4 linked regions of the Notamacropus eugenii genome follow. The protein of the gene in region 1 purifies or fractionates together with the protein of each later gene. This does not show direct contact. Links are inferred from orthologs where the notes say so. Each region holds a gene or a part of one and is shown on either strand. Other genes may lie near its edges. The genes, in order: CLGN, SLC9A6, PTPRU and TCTN2.

Region 1 (7,718 bases):
TCTCTTTGCCAAGAAAATCCTAAATGGGGTCACAGTCACATGACTGAAAAAAGACTGAACAAATGTCTTAGTGTACATGTAAATTAGATTTGGTTGGTTGGTTGTTGTCCCTCGTTCTTGAAGAAGACCAAAATGACATCGTCATGATAAAGTAAAATTTCAGTGTGAACAACTATGGCTGATCAGACCAATATGAGCTTGGAATGTTCTACCATGGATTGGGCACAGATCATCTATATGAACATTTGATGTGGATACTCCAGATTTCTGCATCCTATGTTTCCTTTGTGCTGTCTCAATTCTGCTTTGCTCATAGAGCACAGTACCCTTTCTGATGTGGGTATGCTGAGTGGTCACAGTCAAACCCAAAGTTCTTGAGAGAGACCTTTACAATGTCTTTGTATCGCTTCTTCTGACCACCATGTGATTGCCTATCCCATAAAATAGTTGTTTTGGCAAGAGTACATTTTGCATTCAAACAACATGGCCAGCCCATTGGAGTTGGGCTCTCTGAAGCATAGTTTGAATACTTGTCAGTTCAGCTCGAGCAAAGACCTCAGTGTCTGGTACCTTATCCTGCCAGGTGATCCTCAGAATCTTCCTAAGACAGTTCAAATGGAAGTGATACAGTTTCCTGACATGGCAGTGACAGATTATCCATGTTTCACAGGCATACAACAATGAGGTCAGCACAACAGCTCTGTAGACCTTCAGTTTGGTAGTCAGTCTAATACCTCTTCTCTCCCCAACTTTTCTTCAGAGCCCCCCAAATACTGAGCTAGCTCTGGCAATGTGTGCATCAACCTCATTGTCAATGTGTATATTCCTGGAAAGTACACTACCAAGGTAAGTGAACTTACCCACAGCATTTGAAACTTCTCCATTTGTTGTAATTGATGGTTCCACATATGGATGGTGGTGGCTGATGGAGCACCTGTGTTTTCTTGGTGTTATTAGGCCAAAACTAGCATAGGCAGCAGAGAATTGATCCATACTTTGTTGCATCTCAGCTTCAGAGGTTGCATTGAGTGCACAATCATCTGCAAACAGAAAATCATGCACCACTACTCCCTCCCTTTTGGTCTTGGCTTGTAGCCTTTTCAAATTGAGGAACTTACCATCAGCATGGTAGTTGATGCTGATGCCATGTTCATCCTCATTGAAAGCATTTGACAACATGGCTGAAAACATTATGCTAAAAAGCATGGGAGCAAGCACACAGCCCTGTTTCACTCCACTGGTGACTGGGAAGGCACAAGAGCTTTGTCCATTATCCAGAATCCAGGCAAACATGCCATCATGAAACTGACGTACAATACTGATGAATTTCTCTGGGCAACCAAATTTTGACATAATTTTCTATAAGCCCTCATGACTAACAGTGTCAAAGGCCTTGGTTAGATCTACAAGTGTTGTATACAGACCTCTGTTCTGCTCCTGGCATTTCTCCTGGAGTTGTCGGGCAGCAAACACCATATTGACTGTTCCTTGGCCCTTTCTGAAGTCACATTGGCTTTCATGTATATGACCATCTTCCACATGAGGGCTCAGCTTATTAAGAAGGGCTCTAGCAAGAATTTTGCCAGCAATGACTAAGAGACAGATCCCCCTGTGATTGCTGCAGGACAATCTATTCCCTTTACCTTTATGGAGACGAAAAATGGAAGCATCCTTGAATTCCTGGGGGATAACCTTCTCTTGTCACATAACCTGGAAAATTTCAGTCAGCTTTTGTATGAGCAACGGTCCCCCTACCTTGTAAATCTCACCTGGAATAGAATCAGCACCAGGTGCTTTGCCACATGAAAGGAGCCTATGGTCCTCAAAACCTCTTTTTCAGTTGGAAGTTCAGCTAAAGAGGGATTGACTACAACCTGAGGTAAACTGTGGAAGTGTTCAGCCCATCTCTCTAGGATCACGTCCTTAGGTTTGGTAGAATAAGTTTCAAACCTAGACTCTGAAACCTGACAAAGGAACGCATATGTATATATATGCACACATATATGTATACACACATGTATTTATTTCCCCAGCGTGAGAATCTGCATTTTCTGTTAAAGGCAGCAATATCAATTCACTATTAAAAGCCTGTTTATAAGTAATATAATTTAACAGGCATGTGGTACACCAAAGATTTATATAAGTAGATAGTTTCCTGCAAATATACGTGTGGCAATGTCTGAATGCGTTCCTCTCCCAAATTCTAGTAAGGACAAATAAAAACTTTAGTAAAAATATAATAGCAATTACATATTACTAGTTTCTTTTACCACAAATTATATTAATTTAGATTTTTCCAAATGGGGGACGGAGATAGAAAGATCAGGACAGATTCTAACACAGAAAATATGCAAAATACAGTAAATTATTCCTATAGAAATAAATACATTCAACATAAATGCCCACTAAGACAATCCTTCTTGTAATATGTGAGAAGACAAAACAGTAGCAATTACATCATCTGCGGCAGCCAAAACTTATTAATTTCTAATGCTTTTCCCTTCGAACAATCATTATTTCTTGAATTGGCTGGCACATACAATGACGATTCAGACAGGACTCTTGCTAGTGGGAATTTCTCATAAGTTTACTGCTGATAGAAGTGGATACATTATGGAAGAAAAATACATAATTTGACAAAGGCCATTACTTAATGTTGTTGGGAACAGGAAGAGGAATAAAAAGTGGCCATCAATCATATACTAAGTGGGATATCAGTTGAAGATAACATATCACTACTTATAGTACATGTTATGAATACAATTTATTTTAAGAATTTATTGAAATAAAACATTTACTTTTATACAAGATCAACAGAACACTTTCTTTACAATACTTTGAGAGGGGTAGTACAAGTTTTATTATACCAATTTTGGCAAATTCTGATTTTTTTTTCCTTTACTGAGTGGGAAGAAGGAATCATTTCAGGTCAATTCCACTAAAAAGGTACCTCATTGCTTCCCTCCCTGTCCCTTACCACATCCTGCTTCTTGTGTATGGTGTGCCCCATGTCTGACCAAGCTCTAAGCACCTCACACCACCTGCTTCAGCCACCTTCATGGCCACTGCAACAAATTGTTCTCATTTGCCCATTCCACCAGGGGAAGTCTCTGCATGCTTGGGGTAGACACTCCCCCTAACTCATTGGCAGTTTTGAGGCTTTCTGGCCATCCTCAACCTGGTTTTTCCTCTCTGCTGACCAGGCTACTCAATCTCAGTTTCCTCTCCTGTAAAATGTGAATAATTGTTAACTGTGGAAATAAGATAACCAAACGTAGAAGTGATTTCACTGATAGAACAATTCGCTTCAACAACCCAATTCACAGTCATCTAGGTTCTTTCAAAAACTGGACAGACAGATATCTCACCCAATGTCTTACAGGCCCTTCTCCATCTCTCCTAAAGTTGACAGGGTTGTCCACTTGTCATCCTTCATTCTTGCCATACGAACAGCCTATCTTCTCTCCCATCATAGGGACTGGGATTTCATTGGTTTGGGGAATTCCCACTTAAGCGAACTTCCTCTACCAACACAGCCTGTTCCTTTCTCTGAAATGCAGAGCTGCCTAGAACAGTGTGAAAATCAGCTAGAAACAGAGCGCCACTAAACCTTCCCCGGGATCCCGGTAAGCTCCCTCCTGGTTGAGTTTCACAATGTGGTATTATGTCATTACAGTTTGTTAAATATTTCCCGATTCTGGCTGTGTCTGGCAGCGCTGTGGGTCACGTTGCCTGCCTCTCGTTTGACACCTCTAGCCTGGAATACTTAAAGTTTAAACGGCCTGGTCAAGCCAGGTTTTCCTGACTTTACGTGTATACGAGGCGGCTGGTGGCACAGTGGATAAAGCCCTGCGCCTAGAGTCAGGAAGCCCAGAGTTCAAATCCAGCCTCAGACACTTGAGCAAGTGTTTGCCAAGAACCTCTCAGGCCGGCCCTGGTGTGCTGGACCTGCCCGGAAGGTCCATCAGGGAACCTCAGATGCCCCTCGCTCCAGCCCCACGACACCCCTGACAAGCCCGTGCCTCAATGCCGCCCCGGAGCGCCCCGCTCCACTTTCGGACGGCTCTAGTTGTTAGCAAGCGTCCGGCATTCCTACCCAGGACGCCGGCAGGAGCCCAGGCCTCCCGGGCTGCTGAGCCCTGCGGACGGTTCGCTGCCCTCGGAGCCCTTCTCGGGGAGGCCGCAGAGCGCCTCCCCGCCCCCATCTTCTCGGGTCCGACATCCTCAGGGGCTCCAAAGGCGCGATCCAAACCCTGGGTCCGGGCGGTCCGGAGCCTCCCGGTGGCGCTCACTGCGAAGGCGGACTCCGCAGGAATGCCCCGGGTCAGCCCCGCCGCCACGCTTCCTCCGCCACTTCTCGGGACCATCCCGGGCCGGAGCCCCCAGGAAGAAGCGGCGTCCACGCATTCTCGTGGGTGAGCGTGCTTCCCACGGCGCGCCGCTCCTGCCCGAACTGGGACATCACTTTTCCGAGCCTGCTTCTCAGGCCTCGGGGGACGTTCGCGTCTGCTCCGGGGCGCTCCCACGACCGCTCGCACGGCCGCCAGGCAGCAGCCCGAGGGACTCGGGAGCTGCGGGAGAGCGCGTGCGCCAAAGCCCGTCGGGGCCCGTCGGCCCCGGGGGGCGCTCCCCCTCCCCCCCGTCCCGAGGGGCGCGAGCTCAGGGAGAGCCGTCGCGTGCCGCCGCTCGCGCATGCGCCGTTGGCAGAAGCCGTGAAGTGGCCGGCGGCGACTTCGGTTTCGTGGTGGGGTGACCACCCTGTGGCCGCCGGCCGGACGGGCGAAGCGCCGCCACCGAGGGCCCCCGCCCCGAGCACAGGTGCGTGACTTCGGCGGGGCGGAGGGGGGGACGGAGCGGCGGGCGGGGCGGGGGCGCAGGGGCGACGTCGGAGTTGTTAGAGGAGAGTCCGCTGGGAGCCGGGAGACGGGGGGAGGGAGGAATGGGGGAGGGGCCCTCCTGGGCCCCGGCGAGGGAGGAGGGCTTGAGTGCGCCCGGGGGGCCGGCCGGGCTCCCCCGCCGCCCCCCGCCTTTGCCTGGGACGTGAGGGGAGGGGGAGGGGGAGGGGGAGGGGGCCGGCCGGGGCTGGACGCGAGTCCGTTATAGCGGCGGTTACCATCTCCCGCCTCCGTGCCCGGGCGTTGGGCGCTCGAGCCCCGCGCGCCCCCGCCCTCGGGAAGAAGCGCGCGTCCCCGGAGCCAGGTACGCGGCAGGACGGGAGCCCCCACGGCGGGGGGCGGGGCGTGGAAGGGGCGCAGCCCGCCTGGGATCGGGACCTAGCCGGGGTCTGCTTGGCGCCGGCGGGGCGGAGACCCCCGGGCTCACCCTCTGAGGGGCCCGCCTCTCTGGGCCTTTCGTCTTCGCCGGCCCCAGGAGAGACTGGGGCTGGACCGCCGCGCCCCTCCCCCCTCCGCCGGGCCCTCGGGGGCAGTCCGAGCCCCCGCCGCAGGGCCCCCTTCACCCCCGCACCTTGTCGGCGCTCAGCCCTCGGGCCCGTCCTCTCCCCGGCCGGCGGCTCCGGTTCTGGCGTGACCCGGGCTCGGCGACCCCAGAGGCTGAGGGGGAGGTGCCTGAGTCCCGGCGCGCCCGGGAGAGTTCACCCTAACTTTAATCAGTGGCTCGAGTTAGGGGCGCGCCGGGCAGGAGGCGGCCTGCGGGGGGCGGTCCGCCCGCTCCTGGAGCCGGAGCCACGGTCCCGGGGGAGGGGCCGAGGGGCCGCTGCGGCTCGTCTGGGCTGACGTCGTGGGGTTAGACTCTAAGTCGGGGACGTTCTGTCCGGAGGAGGTGGCGGGCTCTTTGGAAGTGCATCGCTTGGTTTCAGCACTGAACAATTTTCTGTGCTTTTTCATTGCAAAATTAAAATTAAGTTACGGCAACCATTGCGACAGTACCTTGACAGGTGTCTGCTGAGACTGAAGATCTACGACTTGGTGATTTGGGCAGTTGTTGGATTTTTTTCCCGCGCTGTTGTTGGACTGAGTAACATGTTTGTTTTATCCATCCCCCCCTAAAGTACTTGTATCCCTTTTGAGAACTTTTTATTGATGAGTTCTTCCTAGCTCTGGATTACTTGGGTAGGTTCCCGTGCTGCCTCTTATAACTTATTTATTACCCGAATGACCTTGAGTAAGTCCATTCACCTCTGTAGAAGACTTTCTGAGAAGCCTTTTTCTAGTCCAGATCCATGGTCCCTTTGAACATTTTAAATAGAGTGAAAAGCTCTGCTTAGTAAATATTTATGAAATAAAAAGAAGCCGAACATGTGAGAGTGGACAAAACAGAGACTAGAAATAGTTATAAATATTGGAGCAAAAATCAGTTAACTCAGTGGCTGGCCAAATGTTGAATCATTCACGGAGTTTGCAGTTACAAAAGCCAAAAATTCTGTGACTTTGAAAGTTTGACTTGGAGATGGCGTTTTAGACCCATTGTGATCATGGTCCCTGGCTTGTGAGGAGGTGATTACACAAAGCATTTGTTTTATCTCGCTAGTTTACTTTGACATCCGACAATTCAGTTTATTTCCATGCGCTCATTTAAGGACAAACAGACCCTTTTTGTGGTAGGGTCCCCGGATGAAAAAAACAACTGATTATTCCTTTAGACGTTATCCTGGTGATCTTATCAGCTTTATTTTAATAGCCACCCTGTCTTCATGTCAGTAGGTTCGTGCCTGTTGTGTGACACAGTACATCTAGCAATCTCATCATCATGAATATTTGACATGCACAATGTCTTCATGTTTGCAAAGTGCTTTACATACATGATCTCATTTGAAGAATACCTCACAACTCTGAGTTAGATTTCTAAATGTGCAATATAGGGACTTTCTTTGCTGAGGAGAAGGCAGGATGAGAACTAAAAAGGAGGTATTGGGCCTAGTGAATTAAGGCCATTGTTGGGAACAATTTCAGGAAAGAAATGGTAAGACCAAGAACTTGAGAGTAGTGAGGCTGCAGGGACAAGTGTAGATGTGTAGACAACTCTTCAAGAAAAAATAGTAGATATGTGGACCTAGAAGCCAGAAATATTCCAATTCCGCCTTCAACATTAACACTTGTGTGACTCTGAAGTTTGTAAAAGGGGATTGTGTTTGCAGAAAAAAGATTATAAATGAGTTCTGTTTTAGACATGGTCATTTTGAGATATCTATGAAACATCCGCTATTGAGATGTCCAGAAGGCAGCTGGCAGTGGAAGGAGACTGGAGCTCATGAGAGAGGTTACTGCTGGGTATGTAGATATATGAATCATCTCCTTAGAAATTAATTGTTCATTGAACTCATGGATATCATCAGGCAAGATAGTGGAAGAGAAGACAACCAAGGACAGAGCTTTGGAGTAGCGGGGTGAGGGGGGAGAACCACACTCATGGTTATTGGGCATGACCCAAATGAAAATTCAGCAAAAAAGGTCTCTGGGAAGGAAGAGTTAGGTAGGTAGAGAACCACAGGAAAAAGTGACCTGAAAGCCTATAAGAGGGAAGAGTATGCAGAAATAAAAGGATGATTAATGACGTCAGAGGCTGCAGAGAGCTCAAGAAGGACATAGATTGAGAAAAGACAATGAATAGATTTGTCATGTAAGACTGTTCAAATCTTTGGGAATTGAATGTTGAGGTAAGAATGAGATTGCTCAGGGTTTTGAATCTATTGGAAGGAAAGGAAGTTGAGACAGCATATATAAACAGCATTTTCAAGAAGTTTAGACACCTCCTTTGAC
Region 2 (7,517 bases), on another chromosome or scaffold:
ACAATTCTATATAGATGGGAAAGCAGGCCTATAGGTTCCAAGATGTATTCTTGCTTGCCTTTTTCTTGGTAGTAATAATATATGAGGTTTTTTTTTACATCTTTGGTATCTTCTCCCACTTCAGATACTTTGTGATTTGATTCTTTTGATACTTTTACTGATCCCAAGTTTCCCTATGAAATAAAGGCCTCTATTTAAAAATATCGACATTTTTCTGGTGTTATCATGTGACTTGGAGTCATGGAATATTCTAGTCTTTATAGAACTGAAGTTAAGGGCCTCACAAGGGGCAACAGCAAAACACACATTACAAAGAATTAGGCAGGAAAAGTAAAGGATATCTTCAAAGGAATATATGATTTTAAAGGAAGATGGACTGGGCCATGTGGCAAGAGGGAGAGATAACTGATAGCCCGAGAGTTCCACTGGTACCTTCATGATGTCAGGTGAACTGGAGGAAGGCCCTCAGCATGATGGATCCATGCAAACTTATGAGTCTCACAGAATGGACAGACATGGATGGCTTGCCATCTGTTTCATTAAATGAACAGATTATAGAAAGTTGTGGTGGAAAAAATATCTAACCCTGCCTCTATGGAAGTAAGACTCATTTTTTTCCTTAAAAAGGATTGAACTTCCTTGACGATTGATTGACTCAGGAGACTAAAGGCCTGGGATGGTGACATCACTTCCTGGTCACCTGAGTCACTTCAAGTGGGCAAAACAGTGGGCAATATCAGCAAAGGAACTTAGTTCAGCAGAGTCCATGTGGTGTCTTCTACTCCAGCTAAGTAAATCTTTTGTTAACTGCTGAATGACGTCTGAGCATTTCAGTCTGTTCTAATATCAAGACTGAGTAAGGTCCAGCCCAGAATAGAAGCACAACCCCCTGACAGGGTCTACACTTCCTCTGATTCTGGGGAGACTTACCTCCCTTGCTGTGCCCCATCTATTCCTGTATTATAATAATACAGTGCCAAATGAGAGCTGACTTCAAGTATTTGAAGAGCTACCATGTGCCAGAGGCCTTATAGTTCCTTTCCTACATGTTCACTGGAACCAAGAAATATCTAATTAAATACTTCCTTCTCTCTTACTATCACCCTACTTTTTAAAAAATTCCATTTCATTGTATTTTCAGGTCTGCGTTCTCTCTCTTCCACCTCTCCCCAACCCCAGTTGAGAATGCAAGAGAAAACAAACCCCTGTTACATGGATAGTCAAGCAGAACAAATTCCTGTATTGGCCATGTCCAAAACATCTATGTCTCCTTCTGAGGCCATTCTCTCTCTATCAGGATGTGGGGAGTGTGTTTCATTATCAGTCTTCAGGAACTGTATTTCTGACTCCCTACTTTTAATCTTGCTCTCAGAGTTAATTTTCTGGAAGTTTAAACAGTTCTCAGTCTCAAGTCAGTACATTTATTTTGCTAAATTTCTTCAGGAATTCATTTCCTCAACCCTTACCTTTAATTTTGGGAGTTCTCTGATCTTTACCTTTTTTCCTATTGATTCTTTCCCTGGGGGAGTTTTCTCTATCCCCTAGCCATGAACTCAGTTTGGGTCTGATCCTAGGCCTGGCTAATAATACTAATGATAATACTAATAAATAATAACAATGGCTGGGCACTCTGAAGGAGAAAAAAGGAGACAGTATATTCCAGGCAAGTCAAACTGCCTACCACCCCTTTGATCACGTGATGGAGACAGCCCAGGACCCTGGGCTTAAGAGCCTTGGAAATGGCAGTGCTCTCCAAACCACCAGACCTGTTTCCAGCCCAGCCCCCATAGCCACTCTTGAAGGGAGAAATGTAGTATAGAGGGGTCCACCTTCCTCTTCACCAACAGCAACAGCTGCTAAATGTCACCAACAGAAGACTTAAGAGCCCTGAGAGTAGCAGCACCACCCTCCCCCCTCGCCCGAGACCACCATTCTTGCTTCCAGCCCAGCCCTCAACAATTATCCTGGGAAGCAACTTCCTGTGGAGAAGGGACCATTCATCCCCATTAACTGCCAAGGAATTGTCCCATACAGGATAGGGAGGTCAATGTAGTTGAAACAGCCAGCCCCCCTGGGGGAGAGACAGGAAGTAGCATGTGTCAGGAAAGTCAAACCCACTACTACCACCTTGACCGCCTTCTCCCCTCATACCCTGAACCTTTGGAATAGCAATGCTTCTAGTTCAGTGCCCTCAGCTACCATCTTGGGGAACAATCTAGATGGAAGGCAGCCTGGCTACTGCCCCTGAAATGGCTATATAACAGATACAGATAGTGGAGGCACAGAAGGGAATATTCTCCCCTCCAAAGTCCTTGGCCCCATCAAATGGTTCAACATCAGAAATTGGTATATTTTCATTGGAAATGACCTTAGAGAAGTATTACCATCTGCATTGCTGTTGCACCCTAAGGAAAGTGGGACTTTTTCATTTGACTTACAGCTAAATCTCTGTTGTTTTCCTCCATTAGACTGAGCTCCTGATCGCAGGGACTGGCTTACTTTTCTTTTGGCATCCCCAGAGCTTAGCCCTGTGCTTTGCATATAGTAAGCACTTGATAAGCTCTTTATATATATTATCCCATTTGATCCTGCTTTACAGTTAGGGAAAGTGAGGCAGGCAGCTTTTATGTCACATAGCTAGGAAGTGTCCGAGGCTGGATTTGGACTTAGGTCTTCCTGATTAGCTGTTCCCTAAATACCTATGCTTACAGTTGAAAACTCTTTCTTCTCTGAATTACTTCTCATTTGAACTTCAGGTGGTCTAGTTGACTCAGCACTCCCAGCTTACTTCTCTTCTAGAGACCTTGGGCTACATTTTGAAGGAACCTCCTTCTTTTTGGTCTGTTCCAGTACTCTCTGTGCCCATTGTTTTGAAGTAGTACCTCTAGGCACTTGCTGTGTCAGTTGTAACTTTTTGGTTGGTTTCTCTACCCTGTGGCCTTAAACTAGCATTTAGGTTTATTCCTTTGGTTGTTGTAGAAGGTCTTACAACTATGTTCATTGTTGTTGTTCAGTTGTGTCCAACTCTTTGTGACCCATTTGAGGTTTTCTTAGCAGAGATACTGGAGTGGTTTGCCTTTTCCTTCTCCAGTTCATTTACAGATGAGGAAACTGAGGCAAACAAGATTAAGTGACTCACCCAGGGTCATACAGCTACGAAATGTCTGAGGCTGGATTTGAATTCACAAAGATGAGTGCTTTTGACTCCAGGCCTTGCCTTCTATGCAGTGCAGCCTCACGTAGCTGCCTCCACTCCTTTAGTAGAGAACTCTATATATAGTAGAAAGAGGATCTGGATGTAGAACTGAAAGACCTTTTCTGAAACCTGGTTCTGCCACTTACTCTCAGTGTGACCTTGAGCAAATCAAAGAATCTCAGAGTTTGGAAGGAACCTCAGAGACCATCTAGTCCAACCTGGGCCTAAACAAGAAACCACCAATAATTGCTTATCCCATTTCTGCACAAAGACCTCCCGTTAAGATCAATCCACTACCTTCCAATCAAATGAGACATTATATTTAAAGCCCTATATAATGTGGAAGAGGCAGTTGAAGAGGATGATGAATAGGGCAGTGGACATGGAATATGGAATAACTAGGTTCAGATATTCATTAGATCTGTGACACTGGACAGCTCATTTAACCTCTCCCTGTGCCTTGGTTGCTTCATCTATAAAATGAGGGCATTGGACTCATCTCTAAGGTACCTTCCAGCTGATCCTAAGATCTGGTGTTAGCTATTATGATTACTCCAAGGCAGCCCTCCTTGTTAGGAGGGTTCATGAAATTGATCTTGAGCTTCCCAAAATAATTCTTTAAATGATGGAAAATATATTTGTGAATTTCCATGGGGTGGTGGTGGTGGTGGTGGTGGTGGTGGAATCTTTCTAATATTGATTGAATGTAAGAGCTAGAAGGGACCTTAGGGTAGTGGAGCTAGTGGGCATGTTGTTGTAATGATACCTTTTTCATTTGCTAAGCGTGTGACCTCGAACAAGTAACTTTCCTTCTCTGGGCCTCAGTTTCCCCCCTTGTAAAATGAGGCAGCTGGACTAGATGACCTCTAAGCTCTGACACTATGATCTTCCAGTTTGTCCTCACTTTGCAGAGAAGGGAATGGAGTCCCAGAGATAGGAAGGGACATGCCCAAGGTCATATGGAGTGTTGAAGGCTGGGCCAGAACCAGAAACAATGTCTATTGGCCCACACTGCCTCTTTTCCATGTACATGGGGTCTGTACGGGAAATGATATCACTGTGGCTCTTGCTGGCTGGTACCCAAACAATGGGTGATTAATCCATGGAGTGTAAGGTATGGCGTCAATAGGGGAGATGCCGCCCTTCCCAGAGGCAGGGGGCTGGATCAAATGACCTTCCTCCCACTCAACTGGCTGTAGGGGCCGGTACCGTGGCGGTCTCTTTAAGAGCTCCGGCCGCGAGGAGTGGGCGGTCGCTCGGTCAGCCTGTGCTGGGCCGATTCTGCCGTGTCTCCGCCCCTCTTCCCATGAGCCCTTGGGAGTGGCCGGGGACAACAAACGGCATCTGGTTCGGGGGGCGGATGCGGTGGCATTGGGGCTGGGGGAACCATGGCACTGAGCGCCTGGCGGAGGGTTCCCGTGCGCGGCAGTGGCAGCTCTGGCTCCCGCAGCCCTGCGCTCGGGCGGCTTCTCTGGCTCTTGCTGGCTGTTGGCGCTTGTGGCTGGGCGGGTGCCCAGGACGGTGGCGGAGCCGGAGCCGTAGGGGCCATGGAGGAGGAGATCGTGTCCGAGAAACAGGCGGAGGCGAGCCACCGGCAAGACAGCGCCAACCTGCTCATCTTCATCCTGCTCCTCACCCTCACCATCCTCACCATATGGCTCTTCAAACACCGACGGGCCCGTTTCCTGCACGAGACTGGCCTGGCCATGATCTACGGCAAGTGCCTCCCCTTTGCCCCCCATCCTGCCCACCCCTCGGTCGGGGACCGTCCCGGGACCGCAGCTTCTTGGGGACCCCGGGGAGGAGGGCTGCCCAACCGGTGAAGGGGGGTGGGTGGGGTGGGGGAGACGCGCCTCTCTCTTAGCCTCTTTGAAATTGCATCGGGGTTCCCCTGCCTGTGTGGAGATCTGGGCTAGAGGAGTCCCCTTGTCAGTTTTTGGTGTTCTCCGAAAAACTGATTCGACCTCTACTTGTCTTCTCGCACCCACTCAGCTCTCTGCCCTCGCGGCGGACGAAGGGCACATCTTTTATCTCTCCCCGGGTGGTCAAACTTAAAGCTACGGGACCTTGGGGAACCGATCTGTTGTTGATCCATAGCAATTAACTGCGTCTCCTTAACAACCTGTTGGCTGCATTCTAGTAGGAATTTGTTAGAATCCCACGTCGGAGGTTCTGGTTGTCCCAAGTCAGCTAACGAAAGAGTTAAAAGTTTTCCCAGGACGGTTGTTACTACAGAGTGATCAAGACGGTTAATCTAAAACTAATTATAAACACTACACATCCTCAGTCATAAGATTATTAACCCCTTACAAGTGGTTTCAATGGCTTTCTAGTCTGTCTTTTTTTTTCTTTTCTTTTTGGTTAACGGGTAAGGAGGGAAGTAATGGCAAATAGTCCCCTTGGGAGACACAGATCCATCTCATTCCTAAACTGGGGCCCTCTAGAGAGGTATTGCCGACTGTCTTAATCAAAGATGACTCCACTGGGTGATCACTGTGTATATGTGTCTTTGCTTATGTCTGAAGAAATCGTTGTCGACGAATAATCCCTTCTACACAGCATACAGGTGAGATTGTTTTTTTTTCCTCACTTGTGGCTGTGGCAGGGAGCCCGATAATGTTTGCCCCTTTGCCTCAGACTCGAAGTCAGTTGAAGACTTTGGCTCCCAAAGAGCCACTCCATTCATGAAGTGTTTACCTCTGAGTATGTATCTCAAGGAGGATAAGAAAAGGTAGTTCTCAGTGAGTTTCAGAAAAATGCACACACCCTTAGTCATTTTCACTTGCAAGGTAATGATTTTCTTAGATTGGAACTCATCATAGCTTTGGAAACTCGGCAGACTTTTGCATTATAAATTATCTTTTCCTTTATAAAGACTCCCGAGGGCATAATCCCACTGCGGGATCTGATGCATGAATGTCATGTAGAAAGCATTAGAAATTGTGCGGTCTAAGATTTTTAAGTCTCCCTTTTGTTGCATATTTTGTATCTTTTCACTTTTAATCTTTTTACCCAAATAAATGATCTTCTAGATATCTGGGTTTATACATCATGCTAAAATACTCAATCTCCATTATCATTATTATCAGTTATTGGGTACCCACACTGTGCTAGACGTAGGAAATAACCCAAAACTCTTGGACAGTCTACAGTCCATTTAACAGGACAGATTGAATACACACACATACAAACATCAGTGTCATAAGGTTCTATATGCCAAATTTTTCCTTCTTAGGAGGACTGGATTTCCTAGGTTAGGCTAGAAGGGATGCTATAAATGCTCACTTATATGTTGGAAGCATAAAATCTTTCTCTGATTGTTTTAAAATGTTGCATTAAAAAAAAAACAAACCAGGTGGGTCACTGTTAACTTTTGCTAAATGGATAAATGGTTAAGCTCACAGAGCTAGAGAATTTCAGTTGAAAGGATTAATTATTGCATTTGTGGAGGACACAGAGTAAGTAAGAAGCAAGGAAAGGACTTCTGTTTCTCTCTGTTTTGCGTTTTTCCTCTTATGTTGCCTAATGTAAGAACATTAATTCAATTTTCATCAACAAGCATTACTCAAAGCTGGAGGAGAGAAAGAGGGGCTAGGGCTAGGTTTTTTACCCTTTTAAAGTTTAAGGGGATGGAAGGCAGGTAAAAAAGAGCTTCCTAATTTGTATTGAAGTGCAATGGAGAGGACCAGAGTGCTGGCAGGTTCAGGAAAGGCTCCCTGAGGTGCCACCTAGTCTGGGCCTTAAAAGATGGGGGGTCACTTTCCAGTCTGGGCTAGGGACAGGAGTCCATGCCAAATGTGGTAGGGCTCTCCACTGACTATTCCCCCTCGACAGTTTTTCTTTGATTACTTGCTAACCTCTCAAGGTTTCTCAGTATGTAAAATGGGGGATCAGTGATATTTGTCTACCTCTCAGTCTCAAAGGGATAGTGTGAGCCTGGATGAGAGGTTGTAAAAAGATTTCAGATTCTCAGCACTGCACAGAGTAAGTTTGGTTTGGGGTTTTCTTTTAATGCAATTGAGTATCTTTCCCAGTTTTTTCTTGCTCCTCTCCTACCATCTTAACTACTGGCACGTTTATTCCCTTCATGCCCACCCTCCAAGCTTTAAGATTGAACCCACTGATTTTTTTCTCCCTAGTTTGGAGTCAATTTTTCTGTTTGAATCCTAGAAATACTATTTAGGGGAGGGACCCTTTAACTCTTTGCTTTGAAAAAGTAAGAATATTTTTTGTGAAAACTAGCATTTATATAAACAAATATGGTTAGCTGATTGTTCATAACACACCCTAGAAATCTAAGCATTTGAGTATTTTGTTCAGC
Region 3 (7,808 bases), on another chromosome or scaffold:
TCCCTACCTCACAGTGTTATTGTGGGGAGTTTCTCTCTCTCTCTCTCTCTCCTCTCCCTCTCTCCCCACTTTCTCTCTCCATGTTGTCTCCCCTGATAGAATATAAGCTCTTTGAAGGCAGGGACTGTTTTTGTACCCCCAATGGCTAGCACCATACCTGGCATGTAGTAGTCACTGAATAAAAATTAATTAATTGATGGATGGATTGCTAACCCATTGCCATGGTACTCTGGCTTAGCCCATGCTGCCTCTGATCTCCTCCTAGGACAGTCCCAGAAGCAACTTTCTTGTGTCCTGGCATCTCTCCCCCTAACAAACAAACTGAATTGATGGTACAAAGTTTATCTGGGGTTATGTTTATGTTACTGGTCCCAGCCATGTTTTGTACTCTTGTCTCAGACATGAAAATTACCTCTGTATCCCCAATTGCATCAGTGTGGTTATGGCCCCGGCTTGAACCCTAGTAGCTTCTGTCTTGCTGTGCTACTTTGGAAAAGTCACCTTTCCTGAGCCTTGGAAGTATGGATAATCCTACTCCCTAAGGGGGGGACAAATAGTACAATGATCATATAGGCACTTGAAGCTTTTTGGGAAAAGTTCCATGGGGAGGTGAGAGGTTTTCTTTTCTTGCAGCATTATAGTATAACTAATAGTGCAGCCTTACATCACGGTGGTCCTTTACAGGATTCAAAGCATTTTCACCTACAGTAGTAGCTCATTGGATTAGCTGAAGTGGTATTGCCTGGAGATTTCTGACATCGGTGCTTTCCCACTGGGAAGGATGTGGGCTCTTGGGAAGGAGTAAACAGAGACAAGAACTCAGCGCTGTTCAAGCACCCCAGCAGAGGGCCTTTGAATGGCCCCTCACAAAGGGACCCAGGGGATAGGAAGCAGTGCTGATCTTGTTATCCCTGCTTTACAGATGAGTTTGATGGAGTTTGTCTAGGCCAAAGCCATGTTTATGTATCAGCACCAGGAGAGGTTAAGGGTCTTCTGGCCCACAGCTACAGGTTGTTGTTTGTTTTTCATTTTTAAGAGGTCCAATGACATCATGGGGTGATGTCTTGATTTGTGAATAAATTAGATTTAAGTGAGGCAGAGTTGCACGAAATTGCCAGCCTGACTAGCTCTTCCAGAATCATCAAAGTCCAGGGTCACACAGGGTCACACAGCTGGACAAAAGTCATTGATTGGTGACGGCCTGGGATGCAGTGGATGACCTTGGCACATAACACCTGCTTCAACTGCTTTCATGGTCATTGGAACAAACTGTTCTCATCCGCCCATTCCACTGAAGTTTTGGGGTAGACATCCCCCTAATTCACTGGGTGGTTTTGGAGGCCCATCAATTACCTTCAATTTAGTCTAGTCTGTCTTCCCAGAGGTTTACCTGGGTGTGTCCAATGAGTATACTACAGCTTCTTGGAGCCACTGGTGAGAGCTAGGTGAAGGTGGACACCAAAGGTGGATGAGCAGTCCTGAAAAGGGTATGCCCTCATGCCAGAGGTGCTGGTCCTCCTGAACACCCCTCCCCTCAACTCCATAGCCCACAGTTACATAATTAGTAAATGGCAGAAGGTGGGGCAGGGCTGAGGTAGGGAGGGGGAAGAGTGCCTCCAAACCAGGTCTTCTTACTTCCAGTACTACATGAAAATTAGAGCTATCCCAGAGAGCAATGGGCTGCCTTGGGAGGTAAGGATAATAGTATTTGTATAGTGTAGGAGTGGGGAACCTGTGGCCTCAAGGTCACATGTGGTCCTCTAGGTTCTCAAGTGCAGCCAGAATTCAGTCAAGGACTGCAGGCTCCCCAATCCTGAAGGGCTTTAAGGTTTGTAAACCACTTTATATAAACCTTATGATAACCCTGTGACTAGGTGCTATCTTACTGATGAGGAAACTGAAGCAAATGGAGATACCTTGCCAGGAGACCCATAGGTAGTAAATATCTGAGGTAGGATTTGAATTCAGATCTTCCTGACTCCCAAGTCCCACATTGTGCCCATCACAGGCAAGAGGCTGGATGACTTTTTTTGGGGGTTGTTGTGTGTGTGTGTGTAGTATGGACTAGAAGTGTTCAGAGGTCAATTCAATTCAGCAAGCCTTAATGAAGTGCTTGCTGTATACTAGACACCAGGAGATAACAAATACAAAAATGACAGTCTTTATCCTCACATTCCTTCTAGTGGAGGGAATCAACATGGAAATAGAGAAATATAAACACAACGGATGCAAAATAATTAGTTTTTGGAGGTGGGAGGTGGAGGGGTAGCACCAGCAACTGGAGGAATCAACAAAAGCCTTTTTTAGGACTTGATATCTGAGCCCAGGCTTGAAGGGAGCTAGGGGTTCCAAGAGGCAGAGGTGAGGAAGGAGAACATAGTTTGGGCAAAGGTGTAGAGGTGGGAGAAGGAATACTATTTTCTGGTTAAGAGAAACAATAGGAGTAAACAAAAGTCCTTGGAAAATACCTAAAGAAAAAAATCATTCTTAAAAAAACCAGACAAATAAGAATGACAGATTAGGGAGCCTCAGATATGCCAATTTGGCTGGAACTTAGAGCTAATGAGGGTAAGGAGTATTGTTCCCTTCTAAAGCTACTCTAAGATTTTGAGACTCTACACAGTACCGTACACTGTCTCTAATGCCCTAGACTCTTTGCCTTAAGGAGGCCAGAAACCAAGGGCTCTGGACATTAGGCCCCTCTCCAAGGCCTTTGCCCTGGGCACTAGTGGCTTGAATTCCATACAGAGGTATCTAGAGAATACTAACCGCAGTTCAAGTAAACAGTCAGTTGCCTGAGGGACTGCTAGGACTCTAGCGTCCTGCAGAGGGAGACACCACTGATTGTAGACTGTTGAAGGAATCATAGGCTTTAAAGCTGGAAGGAATCTTAGAAAGCATTCAGTGCAAGCTTTTCATTTCATCGGTGAGGAAACTGCAGGCCAGAGACTTTGTGAATTTCCCAAGATCTCAAAGACAGCAGCAAAGAGCAGTCACTTTCTCTTAGTAGGGTAGAGAGATTATCAGGAGGGCTATGGATGGTTAGCAACTGCCTGGAGTGTAGCACAGGAATACATGTATATGTGTGTGTCTGTATATATGTATACAGACACAAACCACATATACATATATATATACACATACACATATATACACATATATATGTATGATATATGTATATGTACATATATGCATGCAGTATTTGCAATTCCAAAAAATTATTATTATTTTTGTCAAGGGAATTTCCCCTGCTCTCCTCAAGCACCAGGGCATAGTAGAAAAAAAAATGATGGTTTTGAAATCTCAGAATTTGTGTTCAAAGTCTTACTTTCACTTTCTACCTGTGGGGACCCTGGGTCTTAGTTTATTCAACTATAAAATGAGGGGATTGGACTAGCTGACCTTTAATACCCCTTCCAACTCTAAGTCTATGATCTTACATATTGTGTGATCAATCAAATCCCATACATTTTTGGGGAAAGTGTAAAGCTTCCATCCTGAATATATCCTTTATGTACCTAGTCCTTTGCATGCTACTTCCCCCACTGGACTATGAGCTTCTTGAGAGTGGGGTCTGTTTTGGCTTTTTTTTGTATCTTCAGCTCTTAGCAAAATACCTGGCACACAGTATGTGATTAATAAATGTTTGTTGACTGATCACATGCATATTTGAGGGAAGATGGAAAGGATATTTGAGTCAAGATGCCTGAATTCCAGTTTTTAACTGTCCTTGGCTGTGGGACTTTGGGCAAGTCATTTCCTCTTCTCTGAGGTTTAGATTCTCCATCTATAAAGTGATGTGTCTGAGTATAAGATCAATAATGTTTGACATTGTATTTTAACATTTTATATACTAAGTCTCCTTACAATTTTAATGTTATGTGCTTTAAGGTTCCTAGATATGCCATTTTATGGCTCCTATTTTATGGCTAGGTTACTCCTAGCTCTGCCATTCTAAGTTCTAAGGGGTCTTCCAGCTCTGACATTCTCCATTCTAACATTCTGTCTAGTTTTAACCTTCTGTGTTCTAAGATCTCTCCTAGCTCCGACATCCTGTGTTCTAAGATCCCTCTCAGATCTGACATTCTACAGTCTAAAGGCCCTTCCAGTTCTAACATTTTAAGGTTTAAGATCCCCTTTAGTATCTGCCATTTCATGATTCTTTGACGTTTACTTGAATGGGAACCTTATGGTCCTCAGGGCCTTGTGTATGATCTGACAGGTCTGACAGGTGACTGTTTATATTCTTCTACTAGGGTATAAGGCTCTCTGAATTTGTGTAGGGTTGAAAGTATGTGTATGAGTGAGTGGTTTGTGGAAGGCTGCTTTCCTAGGTGTGCTGTAGAATACGTGTTTGAATGTGCCAAGAGGATAGACCCGGTAAAAGGGGCTGCGGAGGGACCAGCTTCAGGTCCTGGTGCTGGTCGCATGGGACAGTGATCCCAGGGTTGAGTGCCTCAGTGACCCAGAAGGGAGAGTGTGTACAAAACCAAGAGTCTAATGGGATTCCGGACATTTTAACTGACCGGACTGGAGAACGGTGGGCGCACCAGCGGCTTAGGATGCCCCCGTATCGGTGCCGTTCTGTTGTTCCCAGTTCCGTGGCCCTAGCGGTGATTCGGGGGTCGCGGCCCTCCCCCTCTCACTTCCCTGCGGGTTGTGGGGTTCGCAGTCCCTGCCCAGCTTCTCCAGACCTCCGCACTTCCACACAAGGACCGGCAGGAGGCGCCCCCCACCTTTGGAACGCGAGGCCGCTGCTCGGGCTCCTGACGTCAGGGCTCCGGCTCCGGCTCCAGCGCCCGCTCCGGACTCAGTGCCAGTCCCGGCTCCGCTCCGGCTCCGGCGGCTCGGGAGGCTCCGGGGTTCCGGTCTACGCTCCTTCCCCGTGGCCCCGGGGCCCTCGAGGGTGGCGCACGATGACCGGCGCCCAGGCGCTCATCCTGGCGCTCACCTTCCAGCTCTGCGCGCTGGAAAGCGAGACTCCCACAGGTAAGAGAACTGGATCCCCCCCCCCCCCCGCCGGGACTCCCCACCCCCTCCCCGGGGGCCCCGCTTCCCGAACCCCAACTTGTGACCCGGGACCCCAAGCTGGGGACCCTTGGACCCGTGCACCTTGGGGCAGATAGGGCTGCGCAGCAAGGAAGTATGTGTGAGTGTTGTATGTGTCTGTGTGTGCGTGCTGAGACTGTGTGTCTGTGTGTGTCTCTGTGTGTGTCTGTGTTTGTGTGCGCGCAAAATGGTCAAACAACTTGTTTGTGCTACGCCCTGGGCTCCTGGGGGCCCGGGGCTCGGGCCAGGAGGGCAGCTTGGCCTGGAGGGGGTGTCGGCCGGCCGCTGACACCGACATGTTGTGGGTTGCTTTCTGTTGTTTCGCAAGTTCGGAGCGGCTCGCTCCGGAGACGGAGTCGAGCTTCGGTCAGCGCCCCGGGGCTCCCGGTCCATCGGTTTACACTGGCGGGGGGAGCTGGCGGGAACGTAGAAAGGGAATCTGGCCGGGCCTGGGGGCTGGAGGGAGGAGCCGGGCCGGAGGTGGGGGGAAGAGAGAGCCGAGGGGAACTGGGGAGGGGGGAGGGGGAGGGGGGAGAAGGAGGGAAGGAGAGAGGGAAAAGGAAGGAGGGAGTGGAGACGGGAAGAGAAGGCAGAGGGCAGCGAGAATGGGCAGAGAAAGGAGAAGGAAGAAAGGGTCGGGGAGAAAAGAGAGAGCGAGTCAGGAAAGGGGGACCTGGGAGCCAGAGACATCTCGGAGGAAGGCGGAGATGGGGAGAATCGAACAGACCGCAGAGGAGAGAGGAGGCACTCGGGGGAGAGCGGAGCTACTGTGGCCTGGCTGGGGCTGGTGGGGAGTGGGGGGTGGAGAAGGCTCTCAGTTGGGACTCAGGAGGGAGAGCCCGTTGGGAAGCCTCCGAGCTCGCCCGGCCTGGGAGAAGAGCAGCCGGGGTTGGGAGCAGGTTTCACCCGGGGGCACGTCGGCAAGTGCCTGCTTTGGCCATCTCTCCCCCCTCTTTGTCCTCCTGTCCCCTCTCGGTGATGCCCGCTCCTAGGAGGGAACAGCCTCAAGGAGAGGTCAGACTGGGCAGCGGATCCCTAGGGACCCTTACCCCCGCCGACTTCGTAACTTTGTACCCGGGTCTTTCCGCAATCCGGCACAGGTTGTGTCTGAGTGTGCCCGTGTGCGTGTCCGTGTGCTTGTCTCTGCGTGTCCCTCTGTCTAAGTGGCTCCTGTGCCTCTGTCCGTCCGTCTGTGTGACCCGTTCTTTATCTGTGTCGCCTTTCTGTCTGTTGTTTCCGTCCATCTGAGCGTGCCCTGTGTCTGTCTGTGCCCGTGTGTTTCGAAGTGTGTCCATTTCACAGTGGGTGTAGCGTGAGCCCAGTATGTGAGAGTGTGTGTGTGTGTGTGTGTGTGTGTGTGTGTGTGTGCGTGTGCGTGCTTGCTTGAGTGCGTCCGTCTAGTCCATGCCAGTGTGTGTCTGCCAGTGCACGATGGGGGGAGGGACACCAACCACGCCGGTCCTCTTCTCCCGGCCTGGGAGCACTTGGTCTCTTAACCCGGTGGAAGTGGAGGAGCGGGGGCGGGTGTGCCAAAAGGTGATGGCTCCGTCCCCCTCCAGTAACAACGCAGGTTCGCAGAGGGCCATCATGACCACGTCTTCCTCCCCTTTCGGGCTCCCGGGCCCCTGTTTTCCACAGCAGTTTGACTTAGGGGGCCCTGAGGCCTCTAGTGCCGCGCCCCGCGTCTGAGCTCAGCCTGGAGAGCCGAGGACTGACTTGGAGGCTGAAGGAAGGGAGCAGACTGCACCTTGTAACCTGGGGGAGGCCTGGATGATGGGGAGGGAGCTCCTAGAAGGGTTATCCCGGGATGATTCCTGGAGGGGCAGAGGTCACTGCAGCCCTGACCCTCGGCTGGGGTGGCCTCTGGATGTCTCCAAACTCCGCTGGAGAGATTTCTTTCCGCTCCGGTTTGGTGGCCCCCACCTCAAACCCAGACTGTCTGGCGCCTTCCTGTCGCCCATCACAACAGGACTCTGTCGAGATCTGAACTCGAAGAGCTGAATTCCAGTTTGGGTTTCCCAGGATGGCCAGTAACCTTTTGGGCCTAAGAAGGGGAGGTAGCTCCCAGCTGCTCCTATGACCCCCTTGGGGGCTCTATGGTTTCTCCGGAAAATAGATTCCCCCCATCAGCCAGTTTAATGTCCTGTATCCTGGAAAGGGGGATCCTTCTAAAGGACCCTGGATGGGGGTGGGGAGCAGGATCTCTTTCCTTTATTTGGGCAAGTCATGAATTTTCATTGGCCACCTTTCTGTGTACCTCTCCCCTCCCCGATCTTAGTTCCCACCCCACCCCCCAGGGTGGGGCCCTGATCACAGCCTTCTCTAAACCCCTCCTGATTAATAGAAGGTTCAGTCCAACTCCATGAACTGAGGTCATTTGTGCTGGGGGAAGGGAGCTTTGGGTCCTCATAACTGAGCTCTGTATGGTCCTGGGCTCTGAAGCGGAGAGGGAGGGGACCGGTGGCAAGGGAGTGGTGGGATAGCATTTCCTACTTTCCCTCTTCACCAGGTCTGGACTGGGGAGGAGAATGTTTAGAACTCCCGCTGTTCCAAGGACTGGGGTAAAAATGGTCGAGGTTGGGATAATAGACTGGGTTGTCTCAGGAGGCAGAGAGCTAACCCATCAGAGTCCAAGCTGGATGCCCACTGGCTTGGGATTTCTGCATAGATAAAAGCCCAATTCCCTGACCTCTGAGGACCCCTGACTTCTTTGAGATAGTGTACATCCTGATTCCTGGGGTCAGTGTAGACATCTCAGC
Region 4 (6,981 bases), on another chromosome or scaffold:
ATTAAGATAAAAACCTATTTCACTTAATTTACTGAGCAGGATAAATCTTCATCCATGAACTCCAAAATGGTTAATATTGCTTTGAGAAGGATGAGACCACGTTTCATCACCTGTTTCTGTGCCTTTGCATAGGCTTGTCCCCCAGACCTAGAATGGATTCCAATAATAAAAATAATAGCATTTATATAGCTTTAAGGTTTGTAAAGTGTGCTCTCTCTTTATTGTATGTATGTATGTATATACACATATATAGACACACACACACACGTATATATATATATATAATTTTATCCTCACCACAACCCTGATAAGTACTATTGCGACCTCTTTGTACAAATGAGCTATATAAATGCTAGTTATGATTTTGACATTACTGTTATCATTATCATGTACCCAGTAACTGAAATGCTAAGCCCATGTTTTATTTACTGTACTGAATTGTTGTAAAACTTGGGACAACTGCACTATAGGTCATGCATGCATAGCTGAAGAAGGAAGAGTGTTTAACATACGCAGATCCATTGTATAAATTAGAAAACTAATTGATCATTGAAAGACTTTACCTTTTGGGGACCAGCACGTGAAAGCTGACGTTTGTATTTACACATTTTTTGTCTCCCCTCAACAGAATGTTAAGCTACTTGAGGGCAGACACTTTCATTTTTTGTCATAGCCCCCAAACCCAGAGCACATTTGACAAACTCTGGGGTTATTAGTTACTCATTTGAGCCTCATTATAAAGCTGTGAGGTAAGAATTTTTATTCCTGGTTGACAGTTGGGGAGTCAGGCTTCTGAGAGAGTAAGTGGTATGCCCATAGTCATACAACTAACACAATTCTAGTTATTGAGCCTAGATTTTCCTGCCTCTAGCTTCAGGACTCTAGTCATGAAACACACTGTCTCATAGAGACAAATTTAAATTGTTAAAGCATTCCCCAATAGAAAAGTGGTCAAAGGATATGGAAACATATTCTTCAAACAAAGCCGTTCTCAAAAGAAGAATTACAGACTACTAGAAAGCAGATAAAAGGATGCCCCAGATCACCAATAAGAGAAATGAAAATCAAAACAACCCTGAAGTTTCATCTTCCACCCAAAGATGGATAGATGTGAATAGAAAACAACATCACTGGTGTTACAGAAGACAGGCACACTGACATTGTTGGTGGACCTGTTAATTGGCATAAACATCTTGGAAAACCATGTAGAATTATGCAAATAAAGTGACTAAAAACTATTTTCTTTGATCCTGAGATTCCACTGCTAGTCACAGACCCAAGAAAGTAAGTCATTGATGAAAAGAAAGGGTCCATACACAGCAAAATATTTCTAGCATCCCTTTTTGTTCACAGCATAGACTGGAAACAAAGTAGACACCCATTGGTGGGGACTGGTACCCGGTACATGAATATAATATGATTATTATTACATGATATAACATGTAAGGAATGACAATATGAATACGGAGAAGCATAGGAAGACATGAAAGGATGTATGTGTGATGAAATAAACAACATGAAATTCTGTAAACTGTAAAAGAGCCAGAAAACTACAACATTGTAAATGGAAAGGATAATATCCAGAAAACAATTGAGACAGAATATTGCAAAATTACAAAGAATTTTGTAATTCTTGGCTCCAAAGAGGACAGAAGAGATGACAATCTTTTCCCTTCACCCCAGCAGAGGTGGGGGTCCATGGGTTTGGAATATTGCATATAACCTCGGATTTTTTTCAATGTACCAGTTTTGCTTATTTTTCTTTTCCTTTTTTTCCTTGTCTTAAAAATTCTCCAAGGGATGGCTCTCTGGGAAAGACAAGGGGAAGGAATACAGGAGGATTCCTGGATATAGGTATATGCAAAGACTTCATTAAAAAATCTATTTAAAAAACTGCATTAGATTGTAAGCTTGAGGACAAGGATTTTCTTTTGCCTCTTTGTATCCTGTGCTTAGCACAGTTCCTGGCACATAGTAGGTGCTTAGTACATGTTGATTGATTGATTGCTAAAGGAGTTTTGAAGGGTAGCATAGAGATGGTAGAGAGAGTCAGCCTTGGAGACAGAAAGACCTTACTGGCTCCATGACTCCAGGCAACTTGCTTTGGTGCCATACAACTGTATGTGACATACAACTCCAAGTGACATACCAGTTATATGACCCTGAGTCATTTAATTTCTCAGTAGTCTAGGCAACTCTCTAAGACTATATGGGAGAGGGAATTTTGTTAGTGGGAGTTCCAATATCAGTGACATCATAGTCCAGTCCTCCCTCTAAAAGTTTTTTTTAAGATTTTGCCTCCTTCTTTGTATTTTCGAGACTTGCACCATAAACTATATTGGTCCTCTTGGGTCAGTCTTAATACCCCAATCTCTGTATCCATCTTACCCAGAGAAGAGTTTTCTGTTTCTTGAGAAAAGTGTTGGCTACTGCCTTTGATGCTGCCATCAGGTCAGAAAGATAAAGGGAGTAGAAAGGGACATTTCTGTATAAAAAAGAGGCAGGGATCCCTGGCTTGGCATCCATTGTCGATTCTAGATTTATTCCTAGGATTCCAGTCTTTCTTGGTGTTACTAAAGCCCTCCTAGCCCTGTGCAGGCTGTCACAGCTGGCTGAGCAAATGATGAGCATTGAGAGAGTACCTAGTTCCTGCTTGGTTGACTTTGGTTGGAGAATGCCCCCCCATTGGAGCTCACAGTTGCCTCAATCATAAGAGGTCAAGCCAAACACTTTTAATCCTAGAGCAATCACAGGCCAAATTCCTCTTACCAACCAATGTGTTTAGAGGGAAAAGAAAAATCTACTCTGGGTGGGTGTCACCCAGATTTATAGGAATTCCTCCTTTTGTTGGGTTTTGACTGTAACTTAGCTCTCGAGTTTTGACCATGTCCAAGAATGAGGGGCTCCTTATGAGAGAGTAAAGAGAGTGGTGGGGATGGGTGGAGCCAAACATGGCTACCCATAACTTGTCTTAAAGACTGTATCTCCCAATGCCTCCTCTAACCGAATGAAGCAACAGTTGGGCAAAGAAGAGTTACATTCTGATGTAATAACTAAGACATGTCATGCCTTTGGCTAATATTGAAAGAAATGAGCAGCTCCCAACCTAAGGCCTTACATAATCATAATTTACAGCTCATAGGGGTTTATTGATAAATTCTTATATCTGAAGCACTTAGCGCAATTAAGCACATAGTAGGTGCTTAACAAATACATATTGACTTGCCTAAATACAAGGCATTATTAGGCTCTGTATTGTAATAAGTGGCATAGAGGAAAAAGAACTGGTCTTCGAGCTGGGTTCAAAACCTGCCAATGACATGTGCAGACTGTATAACCCTGACCAAGTCATTTAACTTCTCTGTATTCTAAGCAACTCAACAAGACTATACATTGTGGAGAAGTAGCGAGGGATCTCCTCACCTGGGACTTCTCTCTATCAATAAAATCACAGGTTCATTATCCTTTATTATAATAAAAAGTCAGCTGAATTGTTGACTATGGAGACAAGAACCTGTTAAGCACCAGGGATTCTGAGAGAGGGAGTAAGCATTTATACAACTTTTTTTACAGTTTTTTTCAAACGCGTGCGTTGTTGCAAGTCGTTATCTTTTTATCTCATCTTTACGAATATCTCATTTTTATTATTTTTACTTGTTTATATTTGTTATACGTTGTCATATATATCATATACATACATATGAATAGATATTTATTCTATATAAATATACATATAAATCATATGTGACATATCAATATAGTTTAAAATATAACTATATATAGAAGACACATAAGTATGCATATTTGCCAAGAGCTCCGTCCACCAAGCTCCTATGCAACCCACTTAGGGCTTCCCAGGAGGAGGTGGGCGGGGCCGCGAGGTGACGCTAATGGGCGGGGAAGGAAGGCGGGTCCTTTCCGTCGCTTTAGACCAATCGTGGGGCGCGCTCTCTTCGCTTGCAGCTGATTGGCGGTTGCCTAGTCCTGGGCATTCCGTTGACAAGATGGCAGCGGCGGCTGGCCGGGCGCGGCTGACGCCTTTTCCTTTGCGCCCCTAGCTCGTGCCGCCTGCCGGGGATCGCAGAGCCAGGCCCTGGCATCGGTGGGGCAGCGCGGGGAGGCGAGCCGGGAGCCATGGGCCCGGCCGGGCCCTGCCCGCCATCGGCCCCGCAGCTTTGGCTCTTGCTCCTGTTCCCTCTCTGCTTCCCAAGGGCCCTGTGGGGAGACGTTGGTGGGTAGGGGCGGAGCTTCGGGCAGGGGGCGGGGCCTGTGCTATGGGCGGGCTGTGGGCGGGGCTGTGGGCGGGGCTGTGGGCGGGGGAGGGGGCGCTCGAATCCCTACTCAGACCAGCTCTGTGCTGTGTGACCCTGGGCAAGTCACTTCGCCCTCTTTGCCTCAGTTTCCCCATCTGTAAAATGAGCTAGAGAGGAAATGGCAGCCCGTTCCAGTATTTCTGCCAAGAAAACATGGGGTCACAAAGAGTTGGATATAACTGAAAATGTCTCAACAACAGTTATTTTAAGAGATATTTTTAAAGCTCTTTGCAATACCTTAAAGTTCTATAAAAATGTTAGCTATTATTAAAATGAGATATCTTAACACATTTTACGAACTTTAAGACGTTGTATAAATGCTAGCTGTTATTATTCTTTAGAGATAATATTTGTAGAGCGTTTTGCCAACCTATAGAACTGCTCACTATATATTGCTAGCTCTTACTAATGATAATAAGGATTATTAACCTGGAGGGATTATTTGTAAAGTGCTTTGCAAACCTTAAAGCACTGCACGTAGGCCAGGTATCATTATTATTAAAATGAGGTAACATAAAAAGTGCTAAATAACTGCTAACTTTCGAACTAGGCTTTTGTAGCAGCTACCACAGCTGCACCTGCTGAAGCCTTTTTTAGTTTTGGAATAAGAGTGCCTGGGTGACTGACTGTCCGTACCAGGCAATGGGCAACCTCATGTCCCGAGAGTGAGCCATACGGAGTCTGGTGAAAAGAATGCCAGCTCAGAGCAGGGGTTTTAACCACCTCTCTGCCCCAGACTTCTTTGGCACAACCATGTTTTTAAATGCATGGAATAAGATACGTAGGATTGCAAAGGAAACTAATTATATTGAAATAATTACCAATCTATTAAAGAGGCCAATTCACAGAGTCCAAGTAAAGAATCACTGCTCTAGAGTCTCAAGGACCCAGGTCCACATCCACCTGCGATGTTGTTCCCTCTATGAGTCTGGGCAAATCATTTAACTTCCCTGGGCCTCGGGTTTCCTCCACTCTTGATTGAGGAGGCTGGATTAGATAGCTCCTACTGTCCATTCCAGCTCCAGATCTAGGATTCCCTGAAGATATGTGTTCAAATCCTGCTCACACATTTCCTGGCTATGGGATCCTGAGGAGATCCTTGTAGCTTGCAGAGACTAGATGTGGGAAAGGGAGTAAAGTCCCAGGACTAGGCTATTCCCAGCAAGGGGCCACCTCTGCTGCCAGCATTGGAGCAAAGGAAAATCGCCACAACCTACAGTGACCGTCCCCCAGTGCCTGCCTCCTGGGACTCCCCTCTGAGATTCCTTCTCATCTGTTCATCTGTATCTTATATGGTAGAGTAGTTTGCTCTTGTTTTACCCATTAGATTGAGCTCCTTGAGGTCAGGCACTGTTTTTTGCCTTTCTTTGTATCCCCCCCTCCTCTCAGTCCAGTCCCTGGCCCACAATAGGCGCTTAATAAATGTTTGTTATTTATTGACCCTAACCCTGCAGTCCTGCATGCACATGCTTAGGAGGGGTTGCTTGATTCTCATGTTCCATAAAGCTCTAAGTCTCATTTTCAGGGGTTCCTCATGGTCCTTACATGAGTGGTATTAACGCCTGACTCTTCTCTTTGCCAGTTTTTCTCCCTCCTTTCATTCGAATGTTTGATACTTCGGTTAGTGCAGCCTTGGTTGGAGATACTGAGGATGTCAGTGTGAGCCTCGCTGTGTGGGATGGTGAGCTGGGTAAGGAGGCTAAGCAGCTGGCTTTGGGAAAACCTACTGAAAACACAGAGGGCTTCGGGCCCAGTCTGCCCTTGGGGGAAGGGGAATACTCCCTCAGCCTTTGGCTCTCCAAGGTCTGATCCTGTGACTTCCAGAATTGGCAGTCTGGAGAATGGGCAAAGGGGAAGGGGGCTGCTTTCTGCTTCAGAGACAGCTGCAAGGCAAGGTTATGCTCTCTGAGGAGAACGTCCTTAAACCTTCTGAGGGCGTAAAGGTAGAATGAGAACATTCTCTGGTCTTACCTCCTCTTGTTTAGGGATTTTGCCCATTCCTGATTGTGGACTGCAGAATAATGGGACCAGTAACTGGAGTCTGACCGTGACTCCCGATATGGTATGTTCAATGTTAAATCTCTTCGTTTTCTATTTGTTATTCGATTGTTTCAGTTGTTTCAGACTCTCTGTGGGTTTTCGTGGCAGAGATACTGGAGTACTTTACCATTTCCTTCTCCAGCTCATTTGACAGCTGAGGATACTGAGGCAAACAGGGTGAAGGGACTGGTCCAGCTAGGCTGTGTCTGAGGTGACTTCAGGATGGAGCTCTATCCAGTGCACCACCTGCCGCCCTTCGTTTTCCATTTAGGGTCATATCTGTCACCCCCTCCTCAGCAAGCTCCAAGGCTCCCTGTTGCCTCTGGGATAAACTCCAGACTCCTCTGCTACCTTTGTGCTCTGGCTTATTGTCCCTGACTTCTCTTTACTTACTCTGCTTTGCTCCAGCCTGGCCTCCTTCCTCTTCTCAGCTAAGACATGAGCCCCCGACCTGGAAAGTGCTCCTACCTCCCCTCCCTCTCCCAGGTTCCTTAGCTTCCTTTAGGCAGAGCCCAAGTACCACCTCCTCAGTGGAGCCCTCCAGCAAGTTCCTACCATCCAGCTCCTCCCCAGATTACTCTGCATTTACTTTGTGCTTGGCTTTTACTTTCTGATCTCCTCCTTACCC

Evidence for each region.
Region 2: the proteins of CLGN (region 1) and SLC9A6 purify together in Homo sapiens (co-immunoprecipitation; 3 studies listed by BioGRID and IntAct, with this or other methods). This does not show direct contact. The link is inferred for Notamacropus eugenii from reciprocal best matches to the Homo sapiens genes CLGN and SLC9A6.
Region 3: the proteins of CLGN (region 1) and PTPRU purify together in Homo sapiens (affinity purification with mass spectrometry; 3 studies listed by BioGRID and IntAct, with this or other methods). This does not show direct contact. The link is inferred for Notamacropus eugenii from reciprocal best matches to the Homo sapiens genes CLGN and PTPRU.
Region 4: the proteins of CLGN (region 1) and TCTN2 purify together in Homo sapiens (affinity purification with mass spectrometry; 3 studies listed by BioGRID and IntAct, with this or other methods). This does not show direct contact. The link is inferred for Notamacropus eugenii from reciprocal best matches to the Homo sapiens genes CLGN and TCTN2.

What each region holds. Positions count from the first base shown.
Region 1 is NC_092877.1:137,228,100-137,235,817, reverse strand, and holds the start of CLGN (calmegin), read left to right. Parts: upstream 1-4,699; 5' UTR 4,700-4,818; intron 4,819-5,107; exon of another isoform or gene 5,108-5,199; intron 5,200-7,718. UniProt on the Homo sapiens protein: Functions during spermatogenesis as a chaperone for a range of client proteins that are important for sperm adhesion onto the egg zona pellucida and for subsequent penetration of the zona pellucida.
Region 2 is NC_092879.1:57,255,533-57,263,049, forward strand, and holds the start of SLC9A6 (sodium/hydrogen exchanger 6), read left to right. Parts: upstream 1-4,508; 5' UTR 4,509-4,584; coding exon 4,585-4,912; intron 4,913-7,517. UniProt on the Homo sapiens protein: Endosomal Na(+), K(+)/H(+) antiporter. Mediates the electroneutral exchange of endosomal luminal H(+) for a cytosolic Na(+) or K(+).
Region 3 is NC_092876.1:70,423,286-70,431,093, forward strand, and holds the start of PTPRU (receptor-type tyrosine-protein phosphatase U), read left to right. Parts: upstream 1-4,800; 5' UTR 4,801-4,916; coding exon 4,917-4,989; intron 4,990-7,808.
Region 4 is NC_092875.1:38,956,551-38,963,531, forward strand, and holds the start of TCTN2 (tectonic-2), read left to right. Parts: upstream 1-3,975; 5' UTR 3,976-4,134; coding exon 4,135-4,231; intron 4,232-5,895; coding exon 5,896-6,003; intron 6,004-6,298; coding exon 6,299-6,375; intron 6,376-6,981.